Regions from separate parts of the Mus musculus genome. Here regions 1, 3, 4 and 5 are each reported to be linked to region 2. The links are microRNA targets in miRTarBase. Many come from high-throughput screens and were not tested one by one. Region 2 holds a microRNA gene; each other region holds the end of a gene's coding sequence.

Region 1 (4,000 bases), not on the chromosome of region 2:
AGGAAACACACACCCTTTAAAAATAACCACCTCAAATGTGTAGAAACACTCCATCGTCTACTCTCAATTTGATCAAGGCCAGGAAAGGCGGCTGCAGCACCATATGCAGACTCATAATTCTGAGAGGGGCAGTGCTCACTTGAGACAAGAAAATGAGAAGACACGAATCCATTTCAGTGGCTTACACACTAAGCAGCTGGCCATCAGAGAGGCTGAACTTGCACTGTACCATTAAAACACATTCTGGGGTAACGAGAGTAAACCCGCTATATCTGCGGCACACTTATACAAAGGTGAACCCGCTATATCTGCGGCACACTTATACAAAGGTGAACCCGCTATATCTGCGGCACACTTATACAAAGGTGATCACGCAGTGTCAGTTCTGAGGTAGTCACCAGGAAATATGAAGACACCGTTCATGACTGCAAATGGTGGACAGCTTTCAAGGTTATTTCTAATCATCTTTCAGTGGCCCCTCTATAGTTGCCCCTCCTAATATCCTTTGATGGCTTTAATGAAGACTCTACTACAATTTCATAAATATGCCCCAGATATAATGCACACAGAAGTGAGGGAGCATCAAGAGATCCTCATGTCTTGGATGTGAATAGAAAAACATATAGAATGGAGTGTCGCTGTAGGAACACACTGGAAGGCACTCAGAAGAGAAGATCTGAGCTCTCAATCCAAAGACGGGGCGTGAGGCCTGTTACTTGACTACAGTTTCTAGGGCTTTGGAGTAGCTACGGTTTAGGCATGGCTCCAAGATGCTGCCTATACCAATTTGGATGGAGCTCGGAGCCACAAAGGTCACATAAAGACACAGACCCGTTGAGTGGGCTCAGTTACAGCCCGAACACCCAGGTGGCCGTATTCCTATTCCAAGTACTGCCAAGCCCTGGCCGTTTCTCCTCTTTGAAAAGTCTTGATTCATTTAATTCTCCTGAAGGAGGCTGGGGGAGGAAGGGCTTTGCAAACCTCTCCGTTCTACAGTTTGGAAGGCACAAGGCACAGTCACCGTTCCGTCCTGGCTCTGTGACAGATTTGAAGTGTGACATTTTGCTAAGTGAGAAGCTGTGTGCCCGCTCCTTCTCTGCTGCCCTTACTGAAGCTTCAATATTTGCAAAACATAACGTCAAAATATTTCAGATCCGGCCCAAAGTCATTTGTTACTCACGCAGCGTAGCCCTTACTACACCAGCATATCGTAAGCTCCCAGCACAGGGTCCTGCCACCCGGCTCTGCTCCTTCTCTTCACTTACAGTGCCTCCTCCTCTTTGGGAAGTTAATAATTTGATCATAATAGTAAAATCCCCATCTTATGCAGACAGAATATTATAAGCTGGAACCACCCCAAGCCTTGGTTGTGTTAGAAAAGTAAGAAACCCACAGGCTAAAATTGCTCTACCCTTTAAAATGCCCCCCCCCCCCGTGAGTTGTTTGTAAAGCATACGTTTGTAAAGCTTAGAGCAACTTAACTGTGTGGGGGAATCTTAATTTCCTCATTTAAAAAACAAAAACAAAAACCTGTTGAGTTTGTTGGACAAAGGCATTCTGTGTGTGCTTCCAGCAGGGCTGGGTGCACAGTAACAGGCGTGAAAACAGCGTCACTTTGAAAGGACAGCCCGTGACATCCTGGATTCTCTACCATGTACCATGTTTTATAGAAAACTATCGAAAGTCAGCGTGAGATTGGTTACTCTTAACTGTGTGTGTGCATTCATGGGAAGGCCAGGGGCCAGCTATCCACTCCGGGTTATTTTTAGTGTTGGTTTTTTTCTTGAGACAAACTCTCTCATCATGGACCTGAAGTTAATCACTACACTAAAGATGGCTGGTGAAGGAGCCCCAGGGATCTGCCTGTCTCTGCCTCTGCAATGCCAGGATCACAAGCACACACCTGTGCCTGGCTGTTTTACATGGGATCAGGTTCTTACTGGGATGGCAAGGACTTTGATAACTGAGCCATCTCCACAGCCCGGAGCTGGTTATTCTTAACAAACACTAAAGGTTTCCCAGGTTAGTACCAGGAAGCTTACTGTGGCATTCATGCAATTTTGTCTGAAAGCAGTCCCCCCCCCTTTTTTTTTCTTGTTTTTGTTTGTTAAGTTTTGTTTTTTTCAAGACAGGGTTTCTCTCTCTGCTCTGGCTGTCCTAGAACTTTCTTTGTAGACCAGGCTAGCCTTCAACTCACAGAAATACACCTGCCTCTACTTCCCAAGTGCCGGAATTAAAGACATGTGCCACCACCACCCCATTCCTTTTGGTGGAATTTTACCCAATTACATAGCAAAGTCTGTCTTAACCAAGTACCATGTCTTAACTCTAAACTGAGACTGAATACCCTAACTGTGGACGTATCACCCAAACAAGGGCTTTGAGACATTCTGTCTCTAGGTCAATTGTAAAAGCCCTCATTACTAGGATTTCCCAGGAAGTCCATGTGTATGACAGGACTTAGTACCCAATCCCATCAAAGGTACTTGGTGGTCCTGGGAGATACTTTTCAATATCACAAATGTGTTGTTAATATAAGCATTTCCTGTGACAAATGCTCTTGGTTGTTTCCCCTCTGAGAGTGTTTCAATGTTTTACAAGATCATTTTTTGCAGTGGATGATTTCCAGGAAAGTGGATCTTCAGCCATCTTCCCTTGTGGCTGTAATTTTTCCTAACACCAACGGTGCTGCCTAAGAACAGCCAGAGCTCATTAAACAGAATCCTGAGCATAATTATAATGAACAATTAGCTGGAAATTAGTCTTAATGATTTGTTTTAGATGACAGACTAGAGGCATAATATAATTATTTTTAAACTTTCCTCGTCGTTAAGAATGCAACAGCACCACCTTTCAATTATGGTGAATCAGACCTCACGGAGGCTGCAGCCCACTCGTGGATCGGAGCTAAGGCAACCGGAAGTCTGCACCCCAGCCCAGGTGTTCAGAATCACTCAGCCTTCCTGTTCAACTAGTTTTTTTTTTTTAAAGCCATTTCATGCCTTGAAGACATCTCCACTGTGAAAACATAAAAGCACTCAACTGAGATCCAGCTTTCCTTAGACCTTTCCCAAGACACCACGGGGATAATGGCAGGTGGTAGAGGAGCCGGAAGACTCTAGAGTCTATGGGTGATGCCAGTTCACACCATCGCACTGGACTAACGGGAAGGCGGAGGAGGGTGAGGATGTAAGGGCGGCTGGGATAAACACCAGAGCTAGCGCTGGCTCTAGGTCATCTCTTCCCTGTCTGGTGTTCTTTTCCTTTCGGTGTTCACCAAGTCAATTTGAATCTTGTTTCTCATTAGAACTTTAAAAATAGGTTAGATTCTCTAAATCACGCGTGTGCGCATGCGTGTGCTCCCAATGTCCCCGGAGCTGGAGGTACAGGTAACTGTGAGCCACTGAACTTGGGCTCCGGAACTGAGCTTGAACCCGAGTCCTCCGCAAGAGCAGCAAGTCCTCTTCACTTGTAAGCCGTCTCTCCACCCCTGTCCTCACAAGAAGTTTTTAAAAAGTACAATAGAGATCCAAAAAACAAGTTGTTTTGTTTTCTGAAAAAAAAATCTAAAAATACACATTTAGAGAATGAAAAAGTATTCGTTGTCAAAAGTTTGCCTTTACAAAATTGTGGTTTTTTTCACCTTGCCTAGTCAGTGGGTGTGCCGTTTCTGAGCTTGTCTCCCTCTGAGCCAACCTGTTAGGCCTTTGGTAGCTGGCCATCAGAAGCCATCAGGGAGCGCAGCCCAACACCCACATAAAAGACCTGGTACCTGTGTTTCCACATCACAAAGCAAGCCAGCAAGCACACGAGGCCACAGACCAGGTTTAGGACCATCTGGATGATTAAGAACAATTTGAAAGTGCCAGTGACGCTGGTACAGTCAGTCACATCCCTGTAAACAAAGGCCCTGCTGAGCGGCTCCGAGGAAGGCAGCTTGCACTGGCAAGAATCCAGGGAGGTCTCGCAGGTAAACTGCGCAAGCAGGGAGTAGTGGTGG
Region 2 (4,152 bases):
ACATACATAAAACTTTCAAAATATGGACTAAGCAGGGCATGAATGAGAGAGAGAACAAAGGGGTTAGTTGATTAGAGTGGCTGAAGGGAAGAAACGAAAGGGGAGAATTATAAAATATTTTAATTTAAAAAGCACTTAAAAATTAAAATGAAACTAAACTTATTTTCCATAGTGCTATGTCCCTAATTTTAAATATTTTCACCTATGAGAAATAGGAATTAGATGAAAGGTTCCCCCTATATCTTCACCTAAACAATGTCCTGTGAAGGTAGCTACAATCGATCTTAGAATCAGAAAATACTCTTGCATGTGCATCTATGTTCTTACATTTACAATGACAGTACTTTATGAGTATCCTTATATTGAGAGAGATACCCCAAACTGTTTAAACTGTTTAAACCCTTTTCTTAAAGAGACTTCCTCCACTGCCAGAGATCTTGAATAGCCTCCTGGTCAGTCATCCGGAAACAATTCTTCACATAATTAATGAACTTGGCTTCCACTTTGGGAAGAGAACCGCCTTTTTCTATACTTGCTTGCATTTTTGCCTTAATGTCTTCTACAGAACTAGGTCCTTTTGGTGTTTTAGGAGTCTTTTCCTGTTTTTTGAAGGACTCTTGACCCTTTGATCTCGGTGTTGACGGTTTTAAGTCTTTTCCATTTTGGTTTGATTTTTGTGCATTTTTGGCTGGGGTATCTCGTACAGATTTCTTCACTGGGACCTTTTCTTCAGTTTCCTCTTCATCAAAATCATCATCATCATCATCCTCATCATCCTCATCATCGTCCTCATCATCTTCATCAAGTTTTACTTTTTTCTGTATCCTTATATTGAGAGAGGTTAGTAGAAAGTGACTGGTATCTGTCCTATATCACAATGCACACACCAAAATGAATGGAGACATATCATCTCATCTGACTCTTGCATTACCAAGAAGTTTCAGGAGTCCTTAACTCAAGTTCTTAGGGAATATATATACTCTCCTTCACTTTCTATCTCTACCACTTCTGGATCAGAGAGATAAAAGTCCTTTAACTTTATTTAATTACTGGGAAGGAAATTATTTTTTTTTTCTTTAGATTATCTTCTTTCTTTACATTCTCTATTTTGAAAGTACCCATGAGGTGAAACATGGATAGTCTACACTATGTTGAAAAAGTAAGGATATGGGGCAACAAAGACTCAAACCGTTTCTGTGTTTAGTCTTTCATTAACACAGTGTACCTCATTTTCTTTTTATGAAAGCATAATTCTTAATTTTAGCACCTTGTTCTCCTTTTCCTTACCTAACATAGATGCTTGAATGCTGTCCCATGAAAGTGATTAAAAAGATACACACAATTGTATAGTAAGGCTTTGTGATCATCCTGAAAACCATTATCAGTGATCTTACATGGAAAGCACTAATACTACCTAGAACCTATCAAAAATAACTGAATTAAAGAGCAGTACTTTACCTGGAAGATTTGTCGGTAGTCCAACTGTCTAACAGCTTCTTGAGTGAGATATAACATAAAGCATGAAGATATGGAGGTATCATCCATGTAGGCTAATCATCCCAAGCAGTTTTCATCACTTCACCAATTACAGCATGACATATTAACATTGATTTATTTATTTTCAACTGTTTGGGAATACAAAATATACTTTGTCACCTTGCATGATAAAGGAAGACCTCTTGACCTATAGCCAGATAGCCAGTGTGACTTTAAGATTAATCAGTGATATACTTTGCAAATGACTTTTAAAAACTAGGTAATGAAAATCTTCTAAAAGAATCAGAATATTGGGAGCATAGGATGAGAATACAACACAATTGTACCTGTATATCGCTGTTCAATTACTGGAGAAAGTTACAGAATACAGAAGATAGGAACTTGGTCTATTTAAATTCAAATCACTGATACCATCATAATTTCAGTGACTTGAATTTAAATCTGTTTGGTTCTTTTTCACTTAGGGCCATATTTATAAAGGAAGACTCTAATTACTTGTAGCTTTTCAGTCCACTTTCGTGCACTCATCATCTAAGTTGTCACAAGATATTTGAATTGATATTCAGTTGGGCCTGAAATCATTGATTGGTTTTATTTCTGATATTTATATTCATGATCCCTATTGAGACTGGCATGCAATTTTCTGTTCTTATAATTTGTATAATTTGGGTTCTGTGCAAGCTAGAATAATGCTAACTTCCACAACATTTAAACTTAAAAAAAAAATGAGAGCATAGTTTCTTCAGGTACAAGGAAGCAGATTCTGGAGCCATAATAAGGATGTATAGTTTCTTCATCTTTACTACCCAAGGCCACAACAAATGAAGAACATGATGAGCTTTACTTTACCCAGCATGGTGGCTTTCACCTACACTTCACGTGATTAGCAACCATGTGAGTAGAGCACTGCCCAGGTACTCTAGAACCAGCCCATCTGAAGTCTTTATTTCAACATGTGAAATAAAATTGAATAGAACATTGAAGTAAGTCGTCAACAATAATTACTTTTTTTTTTTAACCACACATTCTTCTTCGAAGCTGTCTTCTCATGTTCCACCATTAGGATTTTTCTTAGTATACTTCTAAAGTTCTACAACCGTTCTCTTCTCTATGGTTATAGATCTGAAGATATCATGAAGATGGATGAAGTATAATCCAGAATCAGTACATTTATCTTCTCTATGAAGGCATAATATGACCATATGGCTACCATCCCTGCGTTTGTTGAGCCTTACAATACTGAGAGCTGTTGCAGTTACTTATAGAATAAAGTAACTGCTACTTCTCTCAGCATTATAGTGCACACGAATTATTATTATTATCAGCTGACTTCAAAAACAACTTTCATGATTCTTCTCAGTATGACATGAATGCAATGTTATTTCTTTACACATAATTCCTCAGGAAGTATAATCATATTTTCCATTATCTTCCATCTCCATTTCAAGGTATCAGACTTGCTTCTTTCTTGATACTCCTCGAATCTGTATGAATTCAAGAGGTTAAGAATTAACAAGTCATAGCCGGGCGTGAATCCCATCACTCGGAAGGCAGAGGCAGGCGGATTTCTGAGTTCGTTTAAGGCCAGCCTGGTCAACAGAGAAACCCTGTCTCAAAAAAACAAAACAAAACAAAACAAAAATAGAATTAACAAGACAAATATTCTTATAAATATATAGGTCAGGTGACACCAAAGAATAACAAATGAACAAGGCAAGACCTCAAGATACCTGCAATGATTTAGTCATCAGCATCAAGAGAATATATCAAATGAAGGCTTCAGTATGTATTAATCTGTACTTTGAGATAGCATAGACTGATCCTTTGTACTTCATCTCAACAACAACAATTTCATCCAACAGCTTTTATCACAATCTTCACAATTAAACACACCCCCACTAAACTGTGTCTGTAAATGTTTGATTTCACACTTAAGCTGATGATATTGAAAATCCAATTGATTTTGCATGTACATTTCACATAAAAACCTGTCACTACCCTAACTTAAAGAGAAATGATGATCACAACAAAACATATTCTTTTATCAAACTTAATTATAATTATGACCAAAGTGAATATGAAATTGTAAAGGATTAATAAAAATATAATTTAAAAAATGTGGATTTTAGGTCAAAAGTTTTATGGGTGGGTTCGTGTCCTTATCTTTCACAGGAGGTCCTGCCTGTTTATAGGAGGTGGCCTCTTCAGGTTCCATGTCCACATTGTTAGGCATCTCAGCTAAGGTCACACACAATGGCTCCTGGGAGCCTTCCCTATCCTAGGTCTCAGGGTCTGCTTAGAGATTACCTCCACCCGTAAGTCCCCTGCAAGATAGAGATTTCCATTCATTCTCCTGGGCCTATGGGCCTCTTTCTTTTCCCTTCCCACACCTGATCCTGCAAACATATCCCCCTCACATACCCACATTGCTCCCTCTGCCTCCCATGACAGTTCTGTTACCCTTTTTAAGTGTGATTCAAGCATCTTCAATTGGGCCTTCCTTCTTGTTTAACTTCTTAGGGTCTGTGGGCGTATGTCATGGGTATAAGTATGTACATACCATGCATGTTCTTTTCTGTCTGGGTTATCTCACTCAGGATATTTTCTAGTTCCATCCATTTGACTGCAAAACTCAGGATGTCCTCCCTCTTAATA
Region 3 (4,000 bases), not on the chromosome of region 2:
ATGCTATGCCGAAGCAATAATGAGCCTCCTAAACTGACTGCTTGGCTCTGTGCCAGCTCCATACCCAGTGTCGACAGGCCAAGCATGCCCAGGCAGGTCTTTCACGTCCTACTCTGAATGCCTCCTTTGTTTCAGAGTTAAGGCTATGAAGGGTGCCAAAAGATTAAGTGATTTATCAGTAGCATCAGAGGCACATGAAGCTCAGTTCCTCTCTTTGTACAGAAGTGAAGTACTCGGCCCCTCCCCCACTTATAGGCTGCCAGAACCCCGACAGCACAACAGATTCTACTTCCTGAAAATCCAAAAGAAACAGCCTTAGTTTGGGTGAGGAACAACAGTTACCATTTGGCCAAACAAGCAACCTTTCGCTACAGATTTGCTGGCTTTTGCCCTAACAGTTTCTAATTTAAGTCATCAAGTTACTGAGACCAAAAGGGATTGCTGTTAAAATGACTTTTCAACATCCTGGCCCTATCTATGGTGGTGCATGCTTTTAGTCCAAGCACTCCTCACCTGTGTGAGGAGTCAATATGCCAATGCACATAAAATAAAAATAAATAGATCATTTAAATATATAGATAGATAATCCCAGCATTCCTGAGGCAGAGGCAGAGGCAGGTGGATCTTTGGGTTCAAACCCAGCCTGGTCTAGTACAGCCAGAGCTACACAGAGAAACCATGTATCCAAAAACTAAAAAGAAAAAGAAACGACATAAAAAAGGAAATTGCTTTACATTCTTCTCTCTATCTCTCCCCCACCCCCACCCTGCCCCCTTGTATGAAATAGAAATCCCTCATCTAAATCCTGGGCTATGAACTAGTAATTAATTTTAGAACTTTCAAACAATAACATACCGCCCTGTTCTTAAAACTAATATAATACATTTGCTTTTCAGAGCTATTGTACCGGTTCATCTTGTTTCATTCCAAAGCCCACAGTGGAAGGTTGCTAGGCGGGTACGTTATTCCAGGTGCCACTCACTAGGTGTGCGACCACAGGAACGTGCACACCCTCTCTGCGTCTCAGTCTCTCACATGCACAATACAGAGCCTGTGCGATGTGGTGGGCTATCATATAAGGAAGGAGTGAATTCCTACTGAGAACAGCAGTGCCTGCGCCACTCAGAGGACTCTATTCACATTACTGGAAGTGCTGCTGCATCCTGAGGGCTTGCCAGGTTCTGTATCAGAATCAAGGTTAGCATCCTATCTGGAGAGGTTCTCCATTTGATTGTTAAGAATATCCCCAGTACACTACAGATCTGTTCTTTCCATTACTCACCACCCCTACCCCCACCCCCACATAGACACATACACACACACACCCTGTACCTTCTGCCCCACCCAAGCTTTGCTGACTATTCCCTTTGTAGCCTTCCCCCCAACTCATAATTTCACGTTTTCTTTCTTGTCTGTCAGATGAGAAACAACCCTGCAGACGTAGCAATCACAGCACCGTCTTTCTGCCCCAGCAGACTCCTACAGCGTGCTGTTTGTAGTTACTAAGAGCTTTTAATTTAGCTGAAATCTGGGTTTAGGCACCGTGGAAATTAATAACTTAGACCTTCCTTAACTTTATGAGTTTTTTTTCCCTCCTGGCCAGTGGCCATGCCACTGGAAACCACAGGGCAGACTGGTTCAAGGTGCATTGAGAAACACCAGGATACACCAGCCTGAGCTGTGAGAGTCACAAGAACTTCTTGGGAAAGGTATGTACCAGTGTTGTTAGTGAACAGATTCCAGTTCATACAGAGACCAGCCTCCATACATTTTTATTGGAGTTAATATAGAAGCAGATAGTTTTCTCAAAAGTCTACAGACATCTTAAAAACAGAATTCCCACCAGCACAGAGGCATCACCGCATCCTTTTACCTGGAAAGCAGGTAACATGGAGAATACTATACCTCTGTGTAGCAAGAATTTCAAAGATTGACATACGTTTCTAGAATTCTTTTATTTTTGGCTATGGTATGGATCCCTCCACAGAAACCCCAAAGGCTAGCATCTGATACCTCCTTCCTCACCAACTGCAGAGGGAAAGTCAAACGAAGGGCCAGGGTCTCCTTCCCAGATTTCCTGGCAGTGTTGGGTACAGAACAGCTTTGATACTTCAAAAACAACCACACCCATAACTATTTTTTTAATACTCAAGATGCAGGTTTTGGAACAAGAGGAAAACGTGACAGTCACCGACTACAATCAGGGCTCTTGGAACTGATCTACTTCACAGGCCTTCCTGCCCAGGCCTGGCAACCGGCCTGGATTGTGGGGACTCCTCGTTTCAAAACCACAAAGTTCAAGAAACCTCTGTGTCATCTTTGAAAAGAAAATGGAAAGCCATCACCAGAGGAACGCACAGTGAGCGGCAGCTCAGCCTTTCCATGTAACAAACAGGCCACTCTCTAGGAAACAGATTGTCCATCGTAGAGCCCCCAGAAAATCATCACCAGGAAGAGCTTTCTAATAGCGCTTCCAGGAACGAGGAGGGTCATCAGGTGTCGCTGGTTTCACTAAGTCTAGGAAACACATTTTCTTAAAATGGGATGAGTCACCACTAACTCATAATGAATCAAAACTAACAAATATTTGAGTACTCAGACACACAAAAACAGCTATAAATTTGTGTGCCAATGAAGAAAAAGAAAAGAATGGGGCTGGAAAGTTGGCTCAGTGGTTAAAGAGCACTGGCTGCTCTTCCAGAGGATCCAAGCTAAATTCCTAGCACCCACACAGCAGCTCACAACCATCTTTAACTCCAGGTCCAGGGGAACTAATGCCCTCTCCTGTCCTCTGCAGGTATTACATGCGTATGATGCATAGATTAGAATGCAGACAAAACACTCATACACATGAACTACAAATACATCTTTGTCTGACAGTGGCAGCATACACTCCCAGCACTTGGGAGGCAGAGGCAAGTGGATCTCTATAAGTTCAAAGCCAGCCTGGTCTATGGAGTGAGTTCTAGGACAGTCAGGGCTACACAGAGAAACCCTGTCTCAAAAAAAAAAAAAAAAAAAAAAAAAAAAAGAAAGAAAGAAAGAAAGAAAAGAAAAGAAACATCTTGGTTGTGCTTTCAAACCAGTCATGAAAACTTACATCTTGAAGTATAAACTGTGGCTGTCGCTTCAAGGGAGAAAGGTGGGAGGCATCAGTTTGGGTGGGAATTACGCTAACAGTGCAACACAAGCTGTTTCACAGGGAACACGGAGCCAGTCACAGAAAGAACTGAGCTAGCACGGAGGGATCGCTGGAGCTTTGGCTTCCAGGGTTGATACAAAATGCAGTTCAACAGGATCTCAGTGCCACAGCGGCAATCCCCTCCCATAACATTTGTTTTCACGCACTTTTACTTTCTTTAGGTCATGACTGAAATTAAGTCAGGAGATAAGCCCTCAGCCACCCCCAGCTCTCCCAGATCAGGCTCCACTGGCTGCAGCCTTCTTCCCACGGGCAAGGCGAAGGTCAGTCACATTTGCAGCCTGAGGAATCAGCAATACCTATCTACATGTATATATTTTAATGGTCTTTCCATTAAAGTCCTCCAGCCACTGGGGAGCAAGGTAGAGTTTTCACCTGGGCCAAAAGGTTGTGGAATTCCTCCACTGCCTGCGAGTGTGCCACTGGGTTTAGTACCAGGTGCTGGAAAAGATTGACAGGCTCAGCATTCCGAAATGCCTTAGGAATGGGTATGGTCAGGGGCAGGTAGGTGTTACCAATGAGGAAATGATGGAGAGACCTTTGCTGGAGGCCTCGGCCTAAGAACCAGAGGAGGTCCTGGAGGCGCAGAGAGAGCATACTGTGCTGCCAGTCTGTCAGAGGCAGTCGTAGCAACAAGTGCATGAGGGCTGTCTTGAAGTGGTAGGAGGTGAGAATGGGGCGAGATGCTCCCGGGGGTAAGATCTGATGGTCCTGAAGACTCAAAACGATCTGCAGGCACTTGAGGTGGCAGGTGTTCTCAGGGGCAAAGCGCCCCACCAGCTTCAGAAACAAGTGTTC
Region 4 (4,000 bases), not on the chromosome of region 2:
CTGAGTTCAAATCCCAGCAACCACATGGTGGCTCACAACCACCCATAATGAGATCTGATGCCCTCTTCTGGTGCATCTGAAGACAGCTACAGTGTACTTATTTATAATAATAAATAAATTTTTACAAAAAAAAATCCTGAGAGGGATGCGGAGGGTCAAATGAACATCGTGCAGTACTTAGAGCATCGCCCCCCACCCCCAACACACACATTGGCTAACTAGACCTATTTTGTTGTTTCTGTTGGACTGACACACCCTCACGGGGTATTCCTGCCGAAATGCACAATCCGATTATAACCATGAAAAAAAAAATCTCAAGAGAGGCTAAACTATAAGGCATTCTGTAAATCCATAGGTCTGATTGCTTTAGGAAAAAATAAAAATGTTAATATCTGGGCTGGGCAGATGGCTCAGGGGTAAAAAAGCACTGGCTGCTCCCACAGACAACCCTAGGTTATTATTTTTATTATTTTTTTGAGACAGGGTTTCTCTGTGTAGCCCTGGCTATCCTAGAACTCACTTTGTAGACCAGGCTGGCCTCCAACTCAGAAACCTGCCTGCCTCTGCCTCCCAAGTGCTGGGATTAAAGGCATGCGCCGCCACCACCACCAGGCATGACCCTAGTTTTGTTCCCAACACCTACATGGTAGGTAGCTAACAACTACCTGTAAGTCCAGGTCTCAGGTGATATGACACCCTCTCCTGGTCATCAGAGGCACTGAGTATATATGTGTTATATATACTTACATGCACTCACACATACACATGTTTAAAAAAAATGTTCATGATGGGATAGGGAAGGTGGCTCAGTTCACAGAGAGCCTGGGCGGCATTTGGGTGGCTCTGAATTTGTTCCCTAGTTCTGCAAGATCCTTGGTATGGCGGTGTGTACCTGTAAGCCCAGAAGTTGAGAGTTGGAGGAGTCGTCTTAGTAGTTCAAGGTAATCCTCCATTACATACCAAGTTTGAGTCTAGCCTGGGCTACGTTCAGCTATCTTAATAAAACCTCCAAAGGTTCGGCTATTTGAAAAGATCAAGGCCATGGGACTGTTCCACATTAAAGGAGACAAGAAGCGACAACTGGTTACTACAAATGGTACGGGGGAAGAGGGATGGAGTAGGGGAGTTCCTAGGGCAAGTAGGAACCTGAATGTGAGTTATCAGGTGGTAAATGCAATATACAAAATTCAACTTCCTAAATTTGGGGTGGCGATCTAGACAGCACAGAGCCCTTGCCTAGCATCGAAGTAGCCCTTGATTTAACTCTCAGCACCCAATAAAGAGGACATGAAGCATCACTGTGAATTCCAACACGCGAGAGGTGGATGTTGCTGAGAGACCAAGGCCCAGCCCAGGCTACATAAAATCCTGTTCTCAGGAATTGTGGCTATGGAAGGTAATACCTGGGTTTTAGAAGGTCCTGTTTAAGCTAACAAGGATTATCTGTGTGTTGGTTTGAGCATACATCATGTGTGCGCTGGTGTGCAGTGAAGGCAGACAAGGCTGTCAGGTCCCCTGAAGCTGGAATTATAGGCCGCCTTATGTGGACTCTGGCAACTGAATTCAAGTCTTCTTGAAAAGCAGCGAGTGAGCCAGGCATTGGTGGCTCGCGCCTTTAATCCCAGCACTTGGGAGGCAGAGGCAGGCAGATTTCTGAGCTTGAGGCCAGCCTGATCTACAGAGTGAGTTCCAGGACAGCCAGAGCTATACAGAGAAACCCTGTCTCAAAAACAAAAAACAAACAAAAAGCAGCGAGTGCTCTTAACCACTGCTCTCTCTCTCTCTCTGATCTCAAGTCGTCCTAAAAAAGATTTTGTGTGTATATGTGTGGATGAATATATATGTGCACCACGTGTGTGCAGTGCCCCCAGAGGCCAGAAGAGGGCAAGGGATGCCCTGGAACTCCAGTTATGGGCAGTTTTGAGTTGCCTGTTTTGGGCACTCAAAACTGAACTTAGCAGTATGTGTTCTTGACCACTGAGCCACCTCTCCAGCCCCAATATATATAAAAACTATATCTAATAAAAAAGTTATTCATTATGTATACAGTAGTCTCCTACATGTATGCCTGAAGACCAGAAGAGGGCACTAGATTTTATTAAAGATGGTTATAAGCCACCATGAGGTTGCTGGGAACTGAACTCAAGATGTCTGGAAGAGCAGCCAGTGCTCTTAACCATCTCTCCAGCCCCCTATATAGCATTTTTGGTTTATTTATTTATTTATTTGGTTTTTCTTGGCAGGGTTTCTCTGTATAGCCCTGGCTGTCCTGAAACTCACTCTGTAGCCCAGGCTGGCCTTGCCAATATAGCATTCTTTAAAAAAAAAAAAATTAATGTGACCAGGTGGTGGTGGTGCACGCCCCTAATCTTAGCACTTGGGAGTGGATTTTGTTTAAGTCTGAGGCCAGCCTGGTCTACAAACTAAGTTCCAAGACAGAAAGAACTACACAGAGAAATCCTGTCTAACCTCCCCCTGACAAGAAAAAAAAAAAAAAAAAAAAAAAAAAGGGCAAAAATGAGCCATGTCTGTATGTCTGCAAACCACATGCATGCCTAGTAATCACAAAGGCCAGAAGAGGCCACTGGATCACCTGGCTCTGAAGTTACAGATGGTTGTGGACTGCAACTGGGATATTAGGTATGAAACCTGGGTCTTCTGAAGAGCAGCCAAATGCTCTTAAATACTGAGCCATCTCTCCTGCCCTCAGTGACACCTAAAACAACATGTCTTATGTAAGACATGTTTAATGTCTTAATCACATAAGGAACATATTGTGACGGGAGGTTTGCAGGGACCTAACTTACTTTCTCCTAGAAACAGTGGCTCAGTGTGTGCACAGCCATTTCTGGTCTTCTGGAGACTCTGTAGACTGTAACTACCTCCAAAAGAAACAACTCGGTACATATTTTAATTAGTATCCCTGAAGGTTTCTTTTGAGTAGAAATTTTCCAAAGTTACAGGTCTTGGAGTAGAATTCAGTGGGAGAGTGCTTGTCAAATTCCTGGGTTCTAGCCCCAGCAACACAGTTTTTTACAGCTGTTGGACTAATCCTAGGGCTTTGACCATGACAGGTTAGTGTTTTGTCCCCGAGCCATTTCCTCTCAATTTTTAAAAAGACTGGTGTTTAGTGACTCACCTGACTGGGCCATCCGATCAGGCAGTCTAGACCCAACAAACACAGACATGAGGAAGAGGTGTCCCTTGTGAATATATTTTATGTGTACATACAAGTGTGCATGCACACTTGCACACACATGCATGTACACACACGCACAGAGAGGAGACATGTGCGCACATACATATTCTCTCTCACACACACACACACGCACACACACACTTGGCTAAGGAGTAAGGAGTTTGAGGGCAGGACAGGAAGCATCCGGGTGGCACTGGTGCAGGGGAGAAGAAGGGACAAAGAGAGCAACTGTCCCCATTCCCCGCCCCACCCCCCACATCCTACCAGGAGGGGGGACAGACAGCTGGAAGAACAGGGAAAGCTTATTCTCACAGAAGAAAATCTCCAAGTACAGTGATTTTTTTTTTTTTAAAGCCTCTTCCTTCCACACTCTGCCCTGGCAAAGCCAGCTGCCTACACAGGCCGTCCTCCGGACTGGGCCAGGACAAGGTCATGGAGAAGGGCATAAGGCCAAGGCCTCAAAGGGCCAGTGGGAAGGTGAGGACTTAGGCATAGTGGGTGCCCGGTGTTAGAGAATGGTCCCCTCTGTGGTCCAGCTGGTCCTGCAAGCGGGCAAACTCGGCCAGCTCATTGAGCTCCTGGAACTGCCGGTCCGTCTTATGGCTGACCAGGGAGCGGTAGAAGTGAACAGCAAAGACGATAAAAACCAGGCCACAGGGAACCATGATGGCGGTGGAGGCAATGGCTGCCGCCTCACCCGGGGTGATGCCGCTGCTGTCGCTGTGGTTGGCGACGATGACTGATTCAGCGGGAGGCTTGGTGGGGCTTGGCTGTCCCGCTTGCCTCTTGAGAGGTAAGAAC
Region 5 (4,000 bases), not on the chromosome of region 2:
TCTGATGCCTCTGCCCCAGACCTGTGAGTCCTGAGACACACAAGTGTGACCACTGAAATGGCTTTTATAGTGTGAAGTAGGGATCTGAGTTCATACCTTGGCAGTCAGGCATCAGTGTTAGCATGCCTCTTGGGATTACAGGCATATACCTCAGTGTCCAGCCAACAGGGTTTTTGTTTTTTGTGGTATTATTTTATATGTTTACCTAGGGGTGCACACATGTGATAAAGTATGCTTGTGGAAGGCAGGGAACAATTTTCAGGAGTTGGTTCTCTCCTTCCACCTTGTTGATCCTGTGGATCAAACTGAGACCATTAAGTTTGGCAGCAAGCTCCTTTATTCACTGTGTCACCTTGCCTAGCCAATAGTTATGTTTAAGTGCAGAACCATGAAGCACTTTCATGAAAAATAATCCCCAACAGTGTGTTCGAGATAGTAGTTTGTTGTGTAGCCCACGCTGGTTTTAACTGTGTAGTCCTCCTGCTTGGCCTCAATGGTGCTGGGATAGCTGATGTGCATCACCACGCCCAGCTGTGTGCCAGAGTTTTTACCACAGCCCCTTCCTGTCCTCATGGTCATTTCACCTTCTGACTTTTCCAGACTGTTCGGCTCTTGAGTCCTGCGTGGAACCCAGAGATCACCTGCTGGACATCAAGGCTCTATTTCTGTTTCTGATGACTTCAAGAATCTTCTCAATGGAAAACCAGGGACCTTCCCAGAAGGCCCAAGCTCATTTGGGTGGAGAATGTCCATTTCCCAGCTCCCTGACCCTCGTCAGCCACAGTGACAAAGTCAGACTTTATTAGGAGAAAGACCTAGGTCTTTACCTTGTGCTGGCATTCTATCTTCTCCTGGCCCAGCTTCTCCAGAAACCTGACCTGGGCTATTTCTTGGTTGAATTGATGGTGATTGTTTTGGTTTGATTTGGGTGTCTTTGTCTGTTTTTTTGTTTTTTTGAGACAGGGTTTTTCTGGTTAGCCCTGGCTATTCTGGAACTCACACACCAGACGGGCCTCAAACTCATAGAGATCCGCCTGTCTCTGCCTCTCAAGTGCTGGGATTAAAGGTGTATGCCACCACTCCTGGCCTTGCACAGATTGTCCTTAATTGATGTGACTCAGGCACCTGCTTGCCGGGCCAGCTATGACAGTCTAGCAGTCTCTTTTGCACTACCAGGTCTATGCTGGTGGACCCAACAGTCTGGGGCCAGTGAGGTCTTACTTCCAAACGTTTCCTCCTCACCCCATAACTGGGTCTACCTGGGGCAGCCAAAGATTGCTCCAACATTTGGAGGAGCCGGTCCTCCTCCCTTGGGACACCAGCCTCTTCTTTAGACACTAAGCTGTTAGCCATAACATACTCAGCTTCTCCAGAAGAGGCCTGTGGAAGAGGTGCTAGTGGTGATGTTAGCAGACACCTCTCTGTGCTTTCAAGCCACTTGTTAATAAAGTGACTTTGGGGCCACTCCTTTATTGTTGCTTGTGATGTTGGCAGCGTACTCTGAAGGTTTGGGTTTCTGGGTCTCTCTTTGAAGGAGGGGAGCTCAAGCTTGAGGTGCATGAGGTTCAGAGGCGACTACGCCATCAGCTCTGAGATGCGTTCCATCTAGAGATGGCCATGCCGGCAGTGCTGAGGGACTTTAATCAGCATTTGAAAGCTGTAGCAGCTGGCTTGCTTTGGGGCTCTCTTTTTGGATTGGTTTCTTTCTTTTCTTTTTAAAGATTGTTCTGTTTTATATGTATGGTATTCTGCCTGCATGCATGTCTGCACACATGTGGATGCAGGGCTTGCAGAGGCCAGAAGTCCTCTAATCTGCAGCTAGAGTTACAGCCAGTTGTGAACTGTCATGTGAGTGCTGGGTCTTTTGAGAGTGACCTGTGTCCTGAGCCCCTCATTTTGGCTTTTTTTTAAAGACAGCCCCAAACTGTGGCAGATGACCTTGAACTCCTTATCTTTTCAGTAGTGAGACAAGATCCCAATTGAGTACTACCATACCAGGTTTTTTTATTGGCTGGTTGGTTAGTCTTTGAGACCATCTTGATGGAATCTGTGCTGATTGAGAACTTTCCATTCTCCTGCCTCAGCCTCTTTAGTGCTAGAATCCCAAGTGTGTACTACCAACCCTAGTCATAATAGCATTTTACCCCAGGCTTCCCCGGGAACTATGGGGAAAACTCTGGTAATGTGGGAACTGGGTCAAGTCTAAGTTCAGGCTGCACAGCTGCTGCAGACATTGTTGATTGTGTCCTTCACACCCGCAGCATGCCTGAGCCTACCCACTTGCCTAGCATTGTAACATGCCACTCTGTTGGCTGATCCCCAGCCTTGGATAGTTGGGATGGCTTTCTGCCTTTCTCAGCTTAGGACTGTAGTTTCAGGAAAAAAAGGTTCCATTCATTCTGAAGAGGAATTGTGCTGAAAAAGAATGCTGTCATAGGGTTTGCACTTATTATCTCATTTGAGTTCTGATAAAGTGTTTTTGGACTACTTACTGTGTGTGTGAAAAATTGAAACCCATGAATCTTCTTGGTTTTTATTATTATTTATTTATTTATTTTTGGTTCTGGGCTAGGGCCTTTTGATGCCACTGAACCATATCACCAGCTCTATATGTGTGTCTGTTTGGAATGTTGTTCAGAAACTTCTCGTGGCTGGAGATGTAGTTCATGTAGAGTGACATAGTATAATTTTACAGGAAAGGACTGAGAGTCTGGCTCAGGGGTGGAGTTCCTGCCTAGAATTTCCCAGTGAGGGGCTGGGGTGTGTGGCTCAGGGATGGGGTCCCTTTCAGAACCATTTGAGACTCTCAAGTCAGATGTTCTAGAAGCTGTTAAGCAATAGCTCTTTCCCTTGCTATAACCAGATATATGTAACCTGAAGTGACAACCCACTTTGTGCTCCTGAAGGTTAAACCTGTTATCCCAACGTTACCACTGGGATATGGAGTTTCAGTTAAATTGTCTCTCACGCTTAAGAGCTACAAGATATGAAGTGCTGTCTTCTGCCTCCCACCACCCAGCCTGAACAAATAAGCCCTCTTTTTATCCCTTCTTTACAACACTGACAAACACACAGGTCAAGTTGTCCACAAGTGATCATGCTGGGATGCTGCAGAGCGGAGGACTGTGTTGTACTGGGTCTACCTGATTATAGTGTCGCACATACAGCCACAAGCATATGCTGTGTGCAAATAAAAAACAAAAGAGTTACCATGACAAACATTCAGTCTATCTACTCCTATCCTTACCCAGATAGCCTTATGAAAGTATACCACCAACAGAGAACTGAAGAGTTCAACTCATCACCTAGGACCCTCTGACTTTTCAGATGATGGCTGCCTGTAGGTCACTGAGCAGCTCAGAAGGGCAGTGCCTCTGGGCTGGCAGCAGTGTTCACTCCAAAGGGCCTTCAGGTTCTCTAGGCCTCACGCTGAGCAAGGCCCATCTCGAAGGATACAAGAGTCGCCAAGACAGCACCAACAGCAAGACCATGTGGAAGAAGCCATGGTATGTGAGGAGCAGGGTCCAGGGCCAATCATCCAGGGTGTAGCCATTCTGTAGCATCTGACTGGACAGGCACAGTACAGCCCTGCCACTTCGCAGCATCCCATGGATGCTCTGAGCTAATGGGCATTTCCTAGATGGAAGACATAAGCAAATCCTTAGCCTTCATTGTCTTCCTGGCTTCGAGAACAAAATGTGCCCGTGGTTACAGTCCTGCCATGTGTATGCTGTGGTTTATGGTAGCTTCTCTGGTGGGGTGCATAGCTTCTCAGGGGGGAGGCTCTGGATTGCTTGGTCCTGCCCCAGCAGGGAAGCTTCTGTTTGCTTTACTCTAAGTTTCTTTTCTTTCTTTTTTTTTTTTTTTTTTTTTTTGGATTTTCGAGACAGGGTTTCTCTGTGTAGCCCTGGCTGTCCTGGCACTCACTTTGTAGACCAGTCTGGCCTCGAACTCAGAAATCCGCCTGCCTCTGCCTCCCGAGTGCTGGGATTAAAGGCGT

What was found. Region 2 holds the annotated microRNA mmu-miR-742-3p (GAAAGCCACCAUGCUGGGUAAA, at 2,342-2,363, opposite strand). A microRNA usually pairs through its seed, bases 2 to 8, with sites in the 3' UTR of a target mRNA and lowers its output. Matches are read on the target gene's strand: a 7mer-m8 pairs with bases 2 to 8, a 7mer-A1 pairs with bases 2 to 7 and ends in A, and an 8mer does both.
Region 1: miRTarBase lists Sspn as a target of mmu-miR-742-3p. Seed matches in the 3' UTR shown: 8mer at 2,987-2,994.
Region 3: the mRNA of Itpripl1 is a reported target of mmu-miR-742-3p. Seed matches in the 3' UTR shown: 7mer-m8 at 2,938-2,944 and 7mer-m8 at 2,335-2,341.
Region 4: the mRNA of Orai1 is a reported target of mmu-miR-742-3p. Seed matches in the 3' UTR shown: 7mer-m8 at 3,581-3,587 and 7mer-A1 at 3,549-3,555.
Region 5: miRTarBase lists Smim7 as a target of mmu-miR-742-3p. Seed matches in the 3' UTR shown: 7mer-m8 at 1,898-1,904 and 7mer-m8 at 2,340-2,346.

The regions. Positions count from the first base shown.
Region 1 is chr6:145,961,195-145,965,194 of GRCm38, reverse strand. It overlaps Sspn (sarcospan), which reads right to left. Exons shown (of 3, transcript NM_010656.3): 3 at 1-4,000. The coding sequence ends at 3,700. Among named protein-coding and RNA genes, the nearest start is that of Gm32838, 5.7 kb to the left of the region's middle.
Region 2 is chrX:66,778,035-66,782,186 of GRCm38, forward strand. It overlaps Mir742 (microRNA 742), which reads right to left and starts at 2,403; the gene lies at 2,339-2,403. Mir883a (microRNA 883a) reads right to left here and starts at 2,799; the gene lies at 2,724-2,799. It also overlaps the pseudogene Gm14681.
Region 3 is chr2:127,137,022-127,141,021 of GRCm38, forward strand. Itpripl1 (inositol 1,4,5-triphosphate receptor interacting protein-like 1) reads right to left here. Exons shown (of 2, transcript NM_001163527.1): 2 at 1,748-4,000. The coding sequence ends at 3,536. It overlaps Gm35347 (a long non-coding RNA gene), which reads left to right. Exons shown (of 3, transcript XR_374955.4): 2 at 897-1,197; 3 at 1,604-1,722. Among named protein-coding and RNA genes, the nearest start is that of Itpripl1, 4.4 kb to the right of the region's middle.
Region 4 is chr5:123,029,365-123,033,364 of GRCm38, reverse strand. Orai1 (ORAI calcium release-activated calcium modulator 1) reads right to left here. Exons shown (of 2, transcript NM_175423.3): 2 at 2,913-4,000. The coding sequence ends at 3,685. Among named protein-coding and RNA genes, the nearest start is that of Gm42023, 6.0 kb to the left of the region's middle.
Region 5 is chr8:72,564,409-72,568,408 of GRCm38, reverse strand. It overlaps Smim7 (small integral membrane protein 7), which reads left to right. Exons shown (of 5, transcript NM_172396.3): 5 at 601-3,211. The coding sequence ends at 616. Among named protein-coding and RNA genes, the nearest start is that of Smim7, 4.6 kb to the left of the region's middle.